2 linked regions of the Astyanax mexicanus genome follow. The protein of the gene in region 2 purifies or fractionates together with the protein of the main gene of each other region. This does not show direct contact. Links are inferred from orthologs where the notes say so. Each region holds a gene or a part of one and is shown on either strand. Other genes may lie near its edges. The genes, in order: acad11 and gtse1.

Region 1 (8,639 bases), on a different chromosome or scaffold from region 2:
AAGAATTGTTAGGGGTGCCAATAATTGTGGAACAGGTGATTTGATGAAGAATAATTATTTCTTAGTCAGGGATTTTATTTCCCCCTTAAAATTTACTTGAGTTAAAGGTTGGACTTTACTCTTTTTTTCCATCGTGGTCCTATATTATTTTGAACAAAACTCAATTTATGAGAAGCTAAAGAACACATCTTAACCAGGGGTGCCAATAATTATGGAGGGCACTGTATGTGCTACTGTCTTTTCCAAATTCTTTGTAATTTGTAGGTGAATAAAGATGCATTAAACTATAAAGAAAAAGACATACAGTATTTACAGCACCTCTTACTGATTGATGTTTAAAACAGAGAGTTTTTTTTTAGGTCAGTTCAATTAATTAAGTAATAAATAAATAATAAATCAATCAATCCACTGATTGGCTACTCATCTAAAATTAATTTGAATTGTACAGTTAAAATACAGTTCGCAAAAAAGTGACTAATGTGATTAATTTATTTTCATTTAATGTTCAATGCCTGCTGCATTTCTTTGCTGCATACAAAGGACTTTTAACTTTAAAACAGCCTTCAATGAAATGCAGCCGAGAAATGCAGTCCACGTTTTGGAATGCAGCTCACGCAGCTGTGCATGTAAGCATGCCATGTCATACCAGGACTTAACAGTCCTGATGTCAGCATGGTTCTTAAAGATGATGCTAAAGCCTGCAGGTCTGACCTGTACATGCTCCATGATGTAGAAGTCAGTGCCGATGACATCTGTGTCTGAACAGTACAGCAGAGGCTGAGGAACAGGAAAGCCGGCAGAGTGCAGAGCCTTCTGTACAGCATACTCTCTGTCCACCTGTCCACAAAAACACACACAGTTTAAAACATTCACCATTTATCCTAAACACTATACTTGAAACATTTTTTAAGAATTTATTTCTGAATTTGTCAGGACTTTAGGATCAATAGTGATATAATGAGATTAAACAAATATATAGTATATTTGTATTGTATACATTGTGAATCATGTGGTCTCCCATCACAAGTTTATGTCTAATGCAGAATATAATGTTTTAGATTTCAAGCACAAAACTGAGAACTTTGCGTTAAAGGGTTAACAGCATATTTGCAGTATGTGCACCTCTTTGTCATATACTGATGGTTGTTATTGTTCTGACCGTTTAGTATTAAATTCAACAACAGAAAACTGTAATCTTGGAATAAAATCATAATTTTAGTGAAGATATGAGTTGTCATGTATTTCACTCTACAATCTCTATTTTTCATCATGTAACAAAAACAGGTAAATATTATTTTTTTATACATATCTACCTAGGCCGATATATATATATATTTTTTAAATGTCCCAACTGGCTTCTTTAATATATTTGCATTGTACTAAAATGCATTAATTTTAAATTGCTATAAATCCAGCTGAAACAGGGAGCCTGGTTTTTCAACATTAACATTTTAGGCCGATATCTGATATAACATTCGTAACTTACAGCGAGATTAGACACCTTGGTATAACTTTAGACACAAAAGTAATATTTATTTGCCTTACATTTTAGCTTTCAACCAATGTATTGTATGCAAACACAAAATGAAAGGAATCTCTTGAGAAATTTGTTTTAACATTTATTGGTTTTTAACATTTATTTAGATAACTGGTCCTTATGCAGACTTCTCACAGCTTTAACCCTCTTTTAAAAATGTAACAGATTAAATAAAAAAAAAATAGGTTTATTGAAACTAAAACAAATAAATAAAAATTTGCTTAAATCAATGGAATTCAAAGTAGCATGGCCAGTGTCTAGTAATTGTAGTCATTTTCTAGCATGCATTATATTTATAATGTATTGTTTGAAATATCGTCTAAATCGGCCGATGTGATGATTAAAAAAAACATCCTCTAGCATTCCTAATTTTTTTTTTACATTTTTGCTGACTCCACTCTCAGCTCAAAATTGAAAAATATGAAACAAATGTGATGGGTAGTTTGGGAGGGGCACTGGGTGATGTATGGGTTTAGGGGTGGGGTTGAAGGGAGAGCTGATTGGGCTGAGCAGTGTGCCTCTCTTAGCAGCGAGATGCAGATGGTTGGAATTCACCAGGGGGCAGTATTACTGATTGATTGATTGATTGATTGACTTATTTGCCTATTGTGAGTGTCCGCATACCAAAGTACACGGAAACATCATCTTCACCTATAGCACGGTTAAACCTGCAATGGTAAAATGACCGCAATAAAACCGCGTTTTTTAAAGGTTGGAAACTGTTTTTACAACTTTTAAGCAGGACTGTGTTGTTTTATTACTTCAGAGGAACACATTTCAGCTATTAATACAATATATAAATTAGTGCCTCTTTAAAAGGGAAGAAAATTGAACTGATGTCAGCACACCAGTGTACTTCAAACAATGGAATTCATTCACAAAATTCAGTAAATTCATATTCTTGTCTTTGAAGGTGGCACCATCTAGTGGCGCTTTATAGCTGACCTTTCACATACATAAGTTATATCTGACAACTTTGCAGCTGTGTATCAAAGTCCAAACAACAACAAACAAAGTGTGAACTTCGAGTTGAAGATTTCTGAATGCTGCAGCACTTTAGAAAGCTTTGGCTTTGTGATATACATGATGTAAATGTAAGCTGATGATGAAGAGCATCAGCTGAAGCCTGAGGAAAACAGGGGCTAACCTTATGTGCACCAGGCAGTAAAGGGCCAGGGGGCTTCTTCCTGAGCACATAGGACCTGTCAGGAGTCTGGATGAAGAAGGTGGGGTTGGACTGTCCAGAACTGCAGAAAAAATGAAAAACAGTGAATAAACAGATGCAGTGAAAGCTGTGACAGTGAAGCAGCTCATGCATATTAATGAAGCTCTTTACCTGTACTGGCGCACAGACACTGCAGTGTTCTCAGAAACGCCGCGTAATCGACCTATCAGGTGCTTCTGCAGCTTCTTCACGTTAAACAGGTGCTGCTGCCGCACTGGGGTTGTCTCCTCTTCCATAGTTGCGATAAATCACACGAGAAGCAAGAATCAAAGCTTAATGCTGGAGTTTCTGCGAGACTTTTCTACCGTTTCAAAATAAAAGTCCCCCCAGCACTCTGCTTTCTAATAGTGTCCCAACAGTAGAGGTCTTCAGGTTATCTCGACCTTATATCCAGCTCCTGATCATGAACTTTAACCTGATCCTGTGTAGGTGTGACCAGACCTGAGACACTACATGATCAAACAATTACATCAGCTCTTACCCTAATGAACTTACCAATTATTACACAATACAGCACTGGAAACTGGATTAAAGGTCAAGATTGGTGAGCTAAGCCCTAAAATGCTGTAACGTTAATATAAAACATGACTTTTAACTTAAATAGACTATTAACTTAAATAAATAAGTGTTCTACATGATTCCTTATGTGCTTATTCATAGTCTGGATTACTTCAATATTCATTTACAATACAGGGAAAAAATAAAGAAATAAATAAAAACATTGAAACATTGAAAAATAACCGCTGAGTCCACCCATCAGCTCAAATAATAATAAAATAATAATCAGAGGCGTAGCTTGGGAGGGGCATTGGCTGATGTATGGGTTTAGGGGTGGGGTGGAAGGGAAAGCTGATTGGGCTGAGCAGTGTGCCTCTGCTAGTGGTGTGACGCAGGTAGTTGAACATCACCAAGGGAACTGTACTATTGATTAATTGATTGATTTGCATTTTGTGACATGTCTGCATACCAAAGTACATGGGCACTGCAGAGGCAGAACTGACCACAATAAAAGCGTTTATTTTTTTAAAGGTTAGGAAAGGTCTATGCAAATTTTAAGCAGGTCTAATATGGTTCATTACTTCAGAGAAACACGTTTCAGTTATTAGTGGAACAATATGGTTTTGGGTTTAGTGGCTCTTTAATTAAATTAAAACTCCCCTCGAAAAATAAACATTCTCTTGATTTACACTCCATAACTTAAAGGAAAAATCCATTGTTAAATAGACCTGGGATGTGAGACATGATAACAAGTACAAACTTTGCAGATGGGAGTTTAGGGCCTTTCGTTTCGCACAGGATTAGTTTCTCAGGGGGAGAAAGTAAAGTGACTGGTTCAGAGAAACAACCAATCAAATTAAAGAAAAGGCGTGGCAAAAAAGCAGATCTGCTAAATGAGAAAAAGAGCGGGAAGTTGGATCCAGCCATCTTGGAGGAGCAAATATTTATAAATAAAATTTTTAATTTAGTGAACAAAAACTTTTTAAGTTAGCTTGAGACAATAATGCACATGTATAGGCTAATTGGCTAACAAGACTAGATACTTAGCTACCTAACCCCTAGCTACAATAGTTTACAGTATTTTTGATAGTCAGCTAGCCAAGAAAACAAACAAAAAATAAAAAGACGTAAGATTGTAACATTTATTTTTATTTTAAAGGGTTTATTTGGTGAACAGATACGCTTTATTAAATTAACTGGAGACAGCAGTGTGTATTATCAGGCTAATTAGCTAGATAGCTCACCTAGATAGCTCTCAAGTTTAGACACTTAAATAGTAGTAGTTTTGATAAAGTCAGCTAGATATTTGTCAGCTATTAATTAAAATTCACAGTCTGATATAACCTATAATGATATGAAATAAGGGTTGTAAATTGCAGAGTGCTTGTTAATGTTAGTGAGATAATGTAACATGTGGACATGTATTTGTGTATTAAACCATACCTTCACACCTTGAGAATGTACAAGTTTTATACTGCTCTACAGGAACTATAGATATGTGCTTTGTCATGCTATGTTATCAGCCACTGTACTGTATAGTTTCTGCTGCCTATGGGGCACACAAATTGATCTATAGACATGAAAGACTATAACAGTGGTTTTCAACCTGTGGGATTTTTACTTTGCAAAAAAAAAAAAAATCTCATTTTGGCCTACGGCCCCCTTGCAATACCTCTGCAGCTCACTGGGGGGGCCGCAGGCCAAAATGAGATTTTTTTTTTTTTTTGCAAAGTAAAAATGATTTACAATATATAGATTGTTCAGCAAATGTAATTTAAGTGAAGATAATTAATAAGATGATAAATTCATTTATTTTCAAAATAAAACTTTAACGAGCTAGTTGATTGGTTTGGTGTAGTACAGTCAGAGCTAGTAGATCAACACGCTAGTTGTGTTATTTATGAGCATATAAACACATCAAACAGTGAGAGCATGCTCAGCGAGGTTAAAACAGGATGCCGACCTGACGCACCCGTTGAATTTTTAAATATGACATAGGTGTACTGTATACAGAGTACCGCTGCCCGCAGGGCAGGGCGAGCGTTAAATCATCCTGCTTAATATTAATGTTGCATTTTGGGTAAGAAGGATTAAACCATATTCACATAGGTTCCTTCAATTGAGCAATATTCTACTTGAATAGAATTGAACTATGGCCATATCTATCAATAATATATTTCATGTCATCCAAGAAGTAGTTGTTTTTGAAGGGCAATGGGACTCCATACAGTCTTACAACAAGAAATTGGAAGATGAAACTCAGAGCTACTTTAAATCTCCTGTATGTACTAATAAGAACTACTATTAATACGCATTTGAGAGGTCAACAAAACAACTGGCAATAGCAAAGAAAAACAAACCAGGGCCAACTCTTGTAGGGCCTATGTGTCTTCCAGGATAATAAGAGATGTTGGGTTTACAGGTGCTGTTGTGAACAAAATGCTGAAACACCATGGACATGATGTTGACATTCAAAAAGAAGGTGTAAAAAACCCTGTGAGCAACTAGGTTTCATTGACATGTGGCTTGAGCAAGGACTGTGATTTTCCAAAATACTTCTAAAAAGTGTTGTTTATGCAGAACGTCATGGACATGTAGACAAACATAATTGTTGATACTATGTAACACCAGAATATATAAAAACAATCAAAAAGAGCATCAAAAAGGGGCGTACTTTCCTTATAGGTCTGTAATACTGGAGACACAGTTACAACACTGTCCACAAGGTGGAACTGTTGTACATCAAATCATCACACCGTCAAACCAAAACACTCCCAAATATGATCCATTCGATATCTTGTTTTGATTGAATTATGTGTAAAACAGAAAATGAACAGTAATCTAATTCAGTGGAATCTACAAAACACTGAGCAGTAACAGCTAATAGTGAACACTGTAGACAAATGTTGTACAAAAAAGCTTTAATGGCGCATTATTCAAAAGTATTATTAAAGACATGTTTAATAAGCATTAATACAATTAGTTCTGAGCAGACTGCAATCATTTCAGACATCTGCTCCAACAACAATAAAACACAACACTGTTTCACTCAGTTCCTAACTGCATAGGGCCTGCAAACAGTTCATGCAGTACAGAAATTCTTCTAATGGAAAAAAGTTCATTTATAATTGTGCTTAGAAAAATAAATATCCTATGTCATGTTAAATAAAACTGGAAAAAACAAGCCCATAAAAACACTGTTTATGTGCATTGTCCAAAAAAAGCTTTGGTCTTCTTTTAATACTTTAAAATTAAATAGGAATTCTAATGATTTGTCCAAATTATTCACACAATTGAAGTACACCAAGTTGTTGTGAGCTGTTTGAGGTGAAAGTGATTGAGGTGGTGTTCTAGAGAGGTGGTGATGGTAAACAGATGGTTAAGAACATCCATGTAAACACTACTACACAAAATGGTTAAACTCCTTAATGTCTGACACATTGCCTTATAACAAATTTGACAGTTTAAAGATTTTGGCCATGTATAAAATTTCTAAATATGTTACTGGCAGGGCATTACAGTATTTTTTTAGGTCTGCCATCATTTTACAATTACATACAAAATATATAACCAATAAAACTGCATGGATACACTTGTGGATGAGTATCTGTGTTGTAAACACCATGGACTCAAGTTCTAAAGACATCAGGGTCAGTAAATGTTTCTACAATAAATAATTTCATGCCAAACTGCTCTGACAGACTCCGTTCACATTTTAGCAAATGTGACCGCAGTCATCGGAAAAAGAGACAGCTGGTAGCAAATAGGCAACAGTTTAATACAGACTTCGTTCAAATGTCTCAAAAGTCTCTATACGGTATTTAAATACATAAAGTGTCCAACTTTGGCTCAAGTGCTATTATATTCTATTGTGACCAAAGATGTTACAGAAATGTGCTCTTACTATCTCTATTTCAGCTCATCACTCAGTTTACACACATGTAGTTTTTTAATGCTCACACATTCCCGCAAACTGCAGTGTCAGCTGTGCTCAGGCAAAAAAAGAGAAAGCACAGTTGTTTATGGGTCTTGGAACAGGACCCTGGAGTCACATTGGAATGTTTGGTTCCTGTAAAGGCATTATCAGTCGATGTCTGAATCTGCTGGGATCATGAATAATAAAGTTGTAGAAATAAAAGCCCCTTCTAAATGATCCAGCATCTACTGGCTCCCCTTGTAGATCCTTTTCATTCACTTAAAAGGGGGAACAAGGTCATTTTTGCCATTGCAAAGAAGTTTCACAAATATTACCCACCCTGTTTATTCATGTAAAAACTCGGGTCCTGTCCTATTCTTCAGTATGCACTGTGCTCGGGGAGACAGGGTAGAGAATAGGCAGAAAAACAGTTTCTCAGCATGACTGTGAAAGAGCGGAACTTTCTCACGGGCGGCAGAGTGAGCATGACTGCATTACAAAGTAGACTGGAAGCAGAATGGGGGAGTGTGTGTGTGTGTGCCTGCGTGCGTGTGTGTGTGTGTTGGGGGAAATATCTAGGCCCCTACCATTCATGAGGGCAAAACTCTGCTACTCGCTTAATGGCAATCACTACTCACAGTATCTGACTGTATGGCTTTTCATCTTGGCCCAAAAACACTCAAATCAGAACCCAGATCAGAACCCAAAAATCACTAAGGCATTTTTAGCTATGTCTTTAGCTAAATCTAGGTCTGAACGGCTTGGCTCTTATTTGGATCGAGTGTTGCATGTGCCAACATCCCTATTTGCCAAATACAACAAACGACCCAAGCTGTATAATATGGACAATATGGATATGGATAATATGGAGTATAATATGGAAAATGGGCCACATCACTGGCTGTTGAGTATAAACCACATTCAACCCAATTCCAAATGCCTGATTTTGAGTCTCAGCCAATGCTGCTATACAATAGCAGAGCTTGGGCCAATCCTTCATGCTATCTGAAAATAATGATACTCATCTGTCAAGAAAACCACAAAAAGAATAGTAAGGATTGGATGATTGGATGGATGATTACACTACAGTTGAAAAGACTGGAATCACTGTTATATTTTGCTATTTAAAATCACTTAATGCACTTAAAATCAAAGTTGTTCTTATTCTAATTTCGTCAGTTCCAGCTAGTGTATAAGCTCACACTCTAAGACAAGATTCTCTTGAACTGAAATAATTTTCTTGGGGCCTAAACCATAATGTTGTTTTTTTTTTACGTAAACAACAAACAGCCAGACATAACACCTCAGAATAATTATTCTAGACAAAATCCATGTTAAAATCAATGGAGATTGGAATAGGGCCTTCCAGAAGATTTCCATCCAGCTTGTGTGCTTGAACAGTCAATCCTAAACCATTTTGTGGTCAGACTGCACAGGAGAGAGTATTAAGTAATGGCCTCCAA
Region 2 (8,732 bases):
GTGTTTTCATTCTAGACAAAAATAATACTTGACGGAAATGAGAAAAGCTTAAAGTTATGACCAGAGTGAGACAGGCACAATAATCTTAGAAAATATGAAACTATTAAGATTGTTAAGACCTTTACACCATTCTCTAAATAGTCAAACACAGAAACTTTTTTTGGAAAAAGCATCCGTCCTATCCATGTGTTTATACATTTCCATGCATACTCTGAGAAAACTGAAAGAAACCAGAGTATAAGCATGTGCTGAAAAATCTGACTACTAAGCCAATTTTTCCTCATCATATTACTAGAGTTTAATCTGAACTGAAGAAATCAGTATGCCGTTTACATGACCACTTAAAGAATCTGATCATTTTAGAAATCTGATTAGATTAACCAGAAAAAAACAACAACATTGTAATATAGCCCTTTAAACTCCACACAATAATTAGGGTCCTCAGTGTGCCTGCTGCTGCCTGGCATTCTGACAGTACTACGTTAAAGCCATTAAAGTTAAAGTTCACAGAAAGCCAGAATGCTAGCAAAGTTACCTCAGCTAATACCATACAGCTCAGCTGTTTTAGCAGGTTTTAAGCAGCAATAAACTCACTGCTACAAACCATGATAAGTGATGCTAAATGTTTAATTTTATGTGACGTGTGAGCAGAGTGAAAAAAATGAACGAACCTGTTTTTTACTCCCTGCTGGCATTGTATATAGCAGTTTTTTTATAACCAGGGTTGTCAAATTACTCCAACTAGGTCACCCAAAACATGTTTTAAATATCTAGGCCTGCCACTACTACTTAAAAAAATCCAAGATGAAAATCTGGATGGGTTTAAATAGTAAATAAGAGTTATGTAGGCCTAAGTATTGATTGGATTATTATCCCTAGTTCTAACCACCACCACCACTATAAAGAAAATTGTTACAAAAGTTTTTCTACAATAAACCATTTTACATCAACCCACTCAGAATGAGGTTGTTAACATCTTAAATCAATGGACCATGTACAATTTTTGAAAAAAATAATTCTAAGCATTCTCAAATAACCTAATGAAAGTGCTTGGTGTTTGTTCTTTCACCTTCTTTGATGTTGGGAGGACCCTCTTTACTGGCAGACTTGTGTTGAAGGAAGAATCGCTCACATCAGATGCAACACTAGCTGTATCAGACAGAAGGTCTTCAGTAGAGCCTGCTCTGCTTGTGTTTCTACTGCCAGGACTTCGCTTCAGGCCAAACGAACTCTGAAACAGCACAGACCAAATAACACATCATGTGACAAAATGTTTATTTAAAGCCGTCCTGCATTCAGAAAGGCAGAAAAAAAAAAAGACCACAAAATATTTGCAAACATACAAGTTAAACCCCCTTACTTTGCTGGGTGCAGGGAGTCGAGTTTTGCTTGGGGCTGCTGGTCGAGTGCAAGAGGATAGTCTGGAGTTTACCACGGCCGTGGGTTTGCTGGGAAGTACCCTATTACTGGCCACTATACTTCTGCCACGGGAGGCCCCTTTAGGCTGTGTCTCAGTATGTCTTACAGGGCTGGAAGTGCTGAGACGTGGTTTGCCACCTGACATGACGCATACCTTCTGAAGCCGCTTCTGGATGGCTGGTGGAAGCTGCTTCATTGGGCTGTCCTGAACACAGAAGGTTTCCCTCTTAATTGGGCTAAGTGCATCAGCAGGCTTGCTGAACATGTCCAGTTTGGCTGAGGTGTCTGCTTCAAACCGTTCTTTGTTTTCAGGCAAACTGGAAGCAACAGTAATGTCTTTTGTTACTGGGTCCGTACTGCTTTCCTCAAGATGACTGGCTAGAAGATGAGCTTCTTTACGAATCTCCTCAAAGTTCTCCTCAAGCAAGGGGCTCCAGCTGGGTTCCTCACCCACAGAGGGCCCACTGCTTACACTGTCTTTCACTTTATTTGCCACAACATGTGAAACACATCTCTCCATATGACCAACTGGACCCAGAAAGACCTCATCTTCAACACAGTCTTCCTCTTTGGAACTGTATTTAAAAAAAAAGGGGGTATTAGTTCAGATTTCTTTGCACTGGGGATGGACAAAGAACTAGGGCTTGACAATTTACTGTAAACATACTCATTTAAATAAATACATTAGTTATGCACAGACATTTACTTCTTAAGTGTACAGCACAACTAGTTTTTGTTGTTACAAATAAACACTAAAAATGTTACATTATACTTTTTTTAAGGCATTTGATTACATTATATTGTGCTACACCATTTATATCAGGTTTTTGGACATATTGCCCAGCTCTCAAAATATTGGTATTGCAGACAATTGTTTTAAGCTCATTTCCTTATTCCCTTCCTTTCCGCCTCCATTTTAAATAAATGTTTTTGCCATGTACTTCTGTGTCCTCTGTTGCTTAATGTACATTATTTGTAAGTTGCTTTGGAAAAAAGCATCTGCCAAATGTAATGTAATATAAAGCTTGACAATATATCAATATTTTACAAGACCGTATGCATGGTCATTTAATGAAGTAGTGTGTAGTAAAACTATTTTTTTTTTATCAACAAACCTTTCTGGTGAAAAGGGAACATCAAAATCGAACTTCTCGTCAGCCAATGAGCAGAAATCTTCGGAAAGAAGCCAAAGAGCAAAGAAATGACAGTCAATTTAACTCGCATGTGAAGAGATGATTCCTACAGTCACATCGGTTTATCTATTTTGTCTCGTATGGAAAAACATACATATGCTAGTCTACCCTTCTACAATTTTTAGCAAGGTGACTATAAACATCTGAAAGTATATTACCATCATCAGCCATCATCCTCGGAAAACCAGATGGGTCAAAGTCCTGAAAATAAACAAGAGGTCCGTTCGCTAGTTAGAGAGTTTAGTTAGAGAGTTTAGCGATTATAAAACACATTTGATATGTTTGCGCTCATATCAGCTCGGTAAGCTCACTTGCTAGACAGTTAGCTTGGCTTAGCTTAGCGTAGCTTAAGTTAGCTAGCTGGAGCCAACAGATTGGCTGGTTATTGTCGCTACATTTAGCACAAAACAAGAGAGCTAACGCTAGTTTAGCTAAGCTAGCGGGCTAGCTAGTAGCTAACAGACCAAAACAGACAAGTAAATCTCGCTTTACTTCTACATCTTTTCCCTGAACGCTAAGCCGCACTCTTACCATCTGTTCTCTGAGTCTGTCACACTATATAACCGTGTTTTATTCAATTAAAGCCGCTCAGAAAATCGCAGCTCCTTCACCGTGAGCCCCAACAGCGTTTTACTGCTTTCAAATTTGGTGCGCAGCCTGATTTCAAACGTCAGGTGGCTGAAATGGCGAAAGCTCATTGGTGGAGAAAGTCGCGGAAGCGTCCGCTTTGTGGAAGGATTTAAATATATGTGATTCAGTCTTTCTAACAGAAAATCACAAACTTTAGTTCTCAAAATATAAGGACCATTTATTATAAACACACCCCCGTTAAACAGACGTCCAGGTTGCAAAAAATAATTTTAGGGAGGTAACGTTACCCCCGGACCTAGAACCCCCCAATCCCCCCAAAGAAAAAAAATATATAGAATACATGTTATTTTGCCGTGATCAATGGTATTTTCTGCAGTCAGAAGGACTATGTGATACAATTATGTGACAAATGTCTGGTACTAGTTAAAAATGATTGGCACAGTGTATCGTACTTCTTTGGTTATTACACACGTACTGTTTACTAACTGAAGCTTTTAAGTGTATAAGTAGCTCCAATGAAAACTAGAAAGTTTTTTTCCATGCTTTTCACAGTGGCCGTCAATATTTCTCACTGATGGGATTTATCATGACAGAGAGTTAGAAATCCCACTTAGGAATCTCTTCTGTATCTCCTTGTTTGGCCAAAAGAGGGCGCTCCCAAATGAGTCCCACAGTCCCGGTTTCATAGTTTTTAAACGTTTAATATTTTTTAGGACCCCAGGGTAAATTTAAAGCAATTAAAGGTCTCTCTCACATTGGATAATTTTAATTTTATGAGTCATAATGTATAACAATGTATGTTTTTACATTAGTGATTAGTAATTCACTTTTACACAATTTGTTAATAAATTAAGCACTAAGAAATCGGAGGAGCATGGGAGCTGAAAGAGCCAAAATAGAGAGAATAACGCCATAAAGGGACAGAATTCCCATCATCACTGCGAATCCTATTTGAATTTGAGGTAGGCCGTAATAATGGGCCCCAGTTTAACACATACAACACTATTTAGAGGTTAGAGAGACGGTAGTATGAGGAATGTTATTTGTAAACACGTGCTGTATAATTTCAGAATTTTATCACCATATATAATGCAGACTACTTCTAATCCTAAAAAACTTTATCAACCCCTGTTCAACCTAAGAACTGAACTCAATACTCACACCACAAATCTTTTTTAGTATTGGTTTCAGCTGATTCCCATGATTTTCATAACATGGTTAGCAGACAAAGTGATATGTTCATTTTATCATTGTTAAAACAGCACACACTGGTATCATCTGATGGCCAATTTAGTCATACATCACAAAACTTATATTATTTATTAGTAGTTTATTAAGTATAGCCCTCTTAATCCGTTCCTACAATTATTTTCATAGCCAGCTATCCCAGACAAAATAAGGCTTTATATGCATTAGATGTTTAAGATAAACTTAGTCACACTAACGAACAGGCAGTGTTTAATTTTAAAATAAAGTGTGTACCTACCCGATTCCAAAAAATTGCACAGTACAGTCTCTTAGAAACCAGTAATGTATATACATTGTGTAAGTATATAATCAATGAATGGTGTCTCATATTACTATTATTAAGATCATTTATATAATTTATCAATTTCCCTGCGTCCTTAAAATCAATTACAATAATCAGCACTGTAGTCATTTTAACTATTCATCTTTTATTGTCAAAAAACCATACACATTACTCACACTTTCAAATGGAAATTGAACCACAATCACTGTTTATACTGCTTATGATTTACAGACATTAAGTAATTACCAAATATAGAAAAAATAATAAATCCATAAACAGATGGATAAACATTCATCCCCAAAATAGGAATGAAGCTACAGTGAAACAAAAAGAAAGAACCAAAGAGCATTTCTTTCCTATTTGCCATCTCTAATAATTTAAATGTTAATGTGTAGCACAACCCAACATAACCTATGACCTATCTTCATGGTTAAATCCTCCACAGAAATCCACATCTTTAGATCCTAAGATCAACAATTACAGTTTTTGTGCTTCTCATTTTTATGGAGGTCATTTCACTGCCTCACCTCCACATGTTCTGTGTTATTCCCCAAGGGATTGTGGGATTAGATAGTAGAATTTGTTTACAGTGCCCTGGCTTTCAGGGGCAAACCCAGCAGCATGCTTGTAAAACAAAATAAAGCTATATTTTATGCAGCCTTGCTTGCAAAGCTATTAAGGACAACTTGAGGAGCATGCATGCTTTTGTTGATGAGTTTATCTGATGTCTTCAATAATTTAAAAAAATGAAATAAATGGAGATAACTCTGAAGCAATGAGTGATGCAATTGGTTGGGAAAAGTCAGGTGTTAAATTGTTAATACCACACACATTCTGCAGCCCCTTCACAATGGACTTATGTAAGATGCCAAGATGCTTAGAATCAGTTGAATCCAACCTGAAATCTTCAATAACCCACATATTTAAACAAAACTGAAATGGTAAACATATTTTGATATATTCTTTTCCCCATTTATTCTGCATACCACTAAACCAGACCACAATGCCTTAACATCATCTGTCTAAGTCCTAAACATAAACCTCACATAAAGATACAGCAGCAACTATGCATATGTCTTGTTCATTATTTGCACTTTGCCCCCCACACTCCCCCTCCCCCAAAGGTGGTATATTTTTGAAAAGCATGTAAACAAACAATTTTTATTACAATATAATCAGCCAAAACAACACACATCAGTGTTTCACTTGAAAGCACGTGGGTAAGGTTTCGTTCAAATTGAAAATTGAGAAAAAATTTCCATTCCTATCTTTTTTCTTTTAAGGACAATTTGTAAATGTATTAAAATATACATTTTCTTTCTAGCTTCCTCTCAGACTACTGTAGATCGCCTGGGAAGAAATCCTCAAATAAATCCTCAATCTATACCAACATTTCTCTGTAGGTTAGCTAACTTGTCCATCCAGCTACACCTGGACTGATGGAAAACTGTCCATTTCATTACCAGAACATTTAATGACCTCCTAAGCATGCTCTTTGCAAGGGTTGTGATGTGCTCTTGGCATGGGTAGTACAGACATGGTCTTAGCAAGGTTTTAGCTTGGATGGAATCAGAGAGATGTCTCCAGGCTGTGCAGGGGGCTACCAGGGGGCTGAGGAATGGCAGTCTTGATTATGTCCTTATGGCGGTGAAAGCTTCTGCTGTCTGTAGCATTGTTGTTCTGGTTAGGAGAAGATACGATCGGAGAAAGGGGCGGGGGCGGTGCAGAATTACGTTTTGTAGGCGCTTCCTCTTCTGGGTCAGTCTCATCAATCAGAGGGATGGCTGGCTCAGAGTCTTCGATGCGGAACTCTGGGTGACTCATGAAGTTGTGAATAGAGCTGCGTGACTCTGGGGTCTCCAGGCCTTCATATGGAGACATGGCTTCCCGAAAAGCATTTACCACACGGATCTGTCAGGGAAGTTTAGAAAAGGAAAAAAAAAATTAAAATTAAGCTGTAGTTTAGGAATCAACCTAATGTGACGTAAAAAGTAACAGGGACTTGTATGTAAACATACAACAACTGTAAAACATAATTAAGATCACCTTCTGAGTAAAGTAATATGGCATGTTATAAAGCAAACAATTAATCTCTACATGCATACGGAAAATGGTGATATACAATTTGATGAACATTTATAACAATGTATATATAAAAATAATATGTATTCATAGCAAACAAAACACAGCATGCTTTGTATTTAAATAGTATATATCTAACCATGTATCTTTGCAATAAAACAACTTCATATGTGGTAAAATTTGACTGATTTAGCAAAATGCACTGGATCATGTTGTTGAAGATGGAGAAATGAAGATGTCATTCCTTTATGTCATTCCATGCTGCTTCCTTTAATTGTGATGTTTCTATGTCTTTTTTTTTTAACAAAAAACAGTACAGTACAGTACTATACTAAAGAAAAACATTTTTACATAGAAAACTCATGCACATTCTTTTCTGAAATTATATTCCAGAGAGATAGTAACCTGCTTAGCTATATTACAATTTGATATTTTTGTATACGTTTATCGTTTAAAAAAGGAACAGCTGTAGTCTACCTGTGTCTGGATTCTTTGGAGTCCTCTGCACCACAGGACCTGCCCTCTTCTCAGTTCCATCTCAGCATGGTCAATTTCATCCATGTCCATCTCTTCCAGTTCGTCCTCTGGGATCTCCTCTTTCTGGGTGCCATGCCCAGCAGTCATCAAGAACTTTAGCCGACTTGTGGGAATGGTGGTGATCAACTGCAAATCAAATGCATGAAATAATTATTTGACACTATAAAACACTGCACTGTTTTTCCATAGAAAACCCAAGAAAACAACAGAACCAAGATGATATGACTTCAGACGCACCTGACCCCAGAGCAGACATCCAAAGCCAAGGAAGACACACCAGAGCCACTGTTCAATACTGAGGCCTACACAGCTAAAGGGCTTCCCTCCAAACTGCACAATCACAATCTGTAAATGAAATCATTGCAATATTATGTATACATTTCAAAATATTGGTTTTGTACCATGAGTTATGTTGAACACACTTTTTTGCTGTTAGATTGCTGTCTAGCTTTACCTGAATAAGAAATGTGCCAAACACAATGGAACAGAAGATGAGGTTGTTAAAGATGCCATCAAAGACATTTCTCTCGCCATGAATTTTGCGAGCATTGATTTCATTGAAGAGCTGCATCATGACGAAGGTGTTGAAAACGATGGTGTAGTGTTCTGAAGGAGGCGCATGTAAAGGAGCATTCCTGCCACTGTCAATATCAAAGATTTGCTCACCTGTTTGGAGAAGAATTAAGTGAATAACTTAAGAAAACAACATATATGTGGATTTATTTTAATCTAAGTACAAGAATAAATTAAAACTTGCATTTGGCATCTATTTTATATAGTATCTTCAAGGAATATGTTTAAAGGGCTTTAATATTTTACAGTTTCTGCACATGTAAATCACAAGTAATTTTGCACACTTAGATACATGATTGGGCAGTTGACAGTGCTGTGTATCTAAAACACAATTATATCTAGGAAAGCAAAATCTTGTAACTAATATTTATTACTGTTGTAACATTTTGTTTATTTCATGATCACATTTCATTTTAAAGGCATAACAAAAAGTTGGTTTAAAACATATTACTTCTTTTTATTTATGATTTGATGGTACAAATAATTCAATTGTGTTTACATACACTTATAATCTTGCAACTATCTCAAAATCAAATGTTTAATAAAATTTAGGATGATTTAAAAATTAATTGTCGCAGCAATACTGCAGGTACTATATCTATTAATCTACTATCTATTAATCTACTACTAATCTATCTCATGGCGCAGTGCTCACCAGCAAACAGCAGAGTAAAGATGATGGTGAGCTGGTAGATGGCATGACCCAGAATGTTCTTCATCATGGTTCTGGAGATGAGAGGTTTGTTGCGGCCGTACGGTTTTCTCAGCAGTAGGGATTCGGTTGGGGGCTCAGTGGCCAGAGCCAA

The links.
Region 1: the proteins of gtse1 (region 2) and acad11 purify together in Homo sapiens (co-immunoprecipitation; 3 studies listed by BioGRID and IntAct, counting the BioPlex papers as one, with this or other methods). This does not show direct contact. The link is inferred for Astyanax mexicanus from reciprocal best matches to the Homo sapiens genes GTSE1 and ACAD11.

Annotation. Positions count from the first base shown.
Region 1 is NC_064408.1:104,862,073-104,870,711, forward strand, and holds the start of acad11 (acyl-CoA dehydrogenase family member 11), read right to left. Parts: upstream 3,164-8,639; 5' UTR 2,999-3,163; coding exon 2,874-2,998; intron 2,785-2,873; coding exon 2,685-2,784; intron 838-2,684; coding exon 712-837; intron 1-711. UniProt on the Homo sapiens protein: Acyl-CoA dehydrogenase, that exhibits maximal activity towards saturated C22-CoA.
Region 2 is NC_064417.1:36,523,776-36,532,507, reverse strand, and holds the start of gtse1 (G2 and S phase-expressed protein 1), read right to left. Parts: upstream 3,303-8,732; 5' UTR 3,147-3,302; coding exon 3,144-3,146; intron 2,814-3,143; coding exon 2,771-2,813; intron 2,593-2,770; coding exon 2,535-2,592; intron 1,995-2,534; coding exon 1,361-1,994; intron 1,232-1,360; coding exon 1,070-1,231; intron 1-1,069. Other genes in the region: atp2b1b (plasma membrane calcium-transporting ATPase 1b), read right to left, coding at 6,304-6,645, 7,294-7,479, 7,591-7,698, 7,808-8,019, 8,582-8,732. UniProt on the Homo sapiens protein: May be involved in p53-induced cell cycle arrest in G2/M phase by interfering with microtubule rearrangements that are required to enter mitosis. Overexpression delays G2/M phase progression.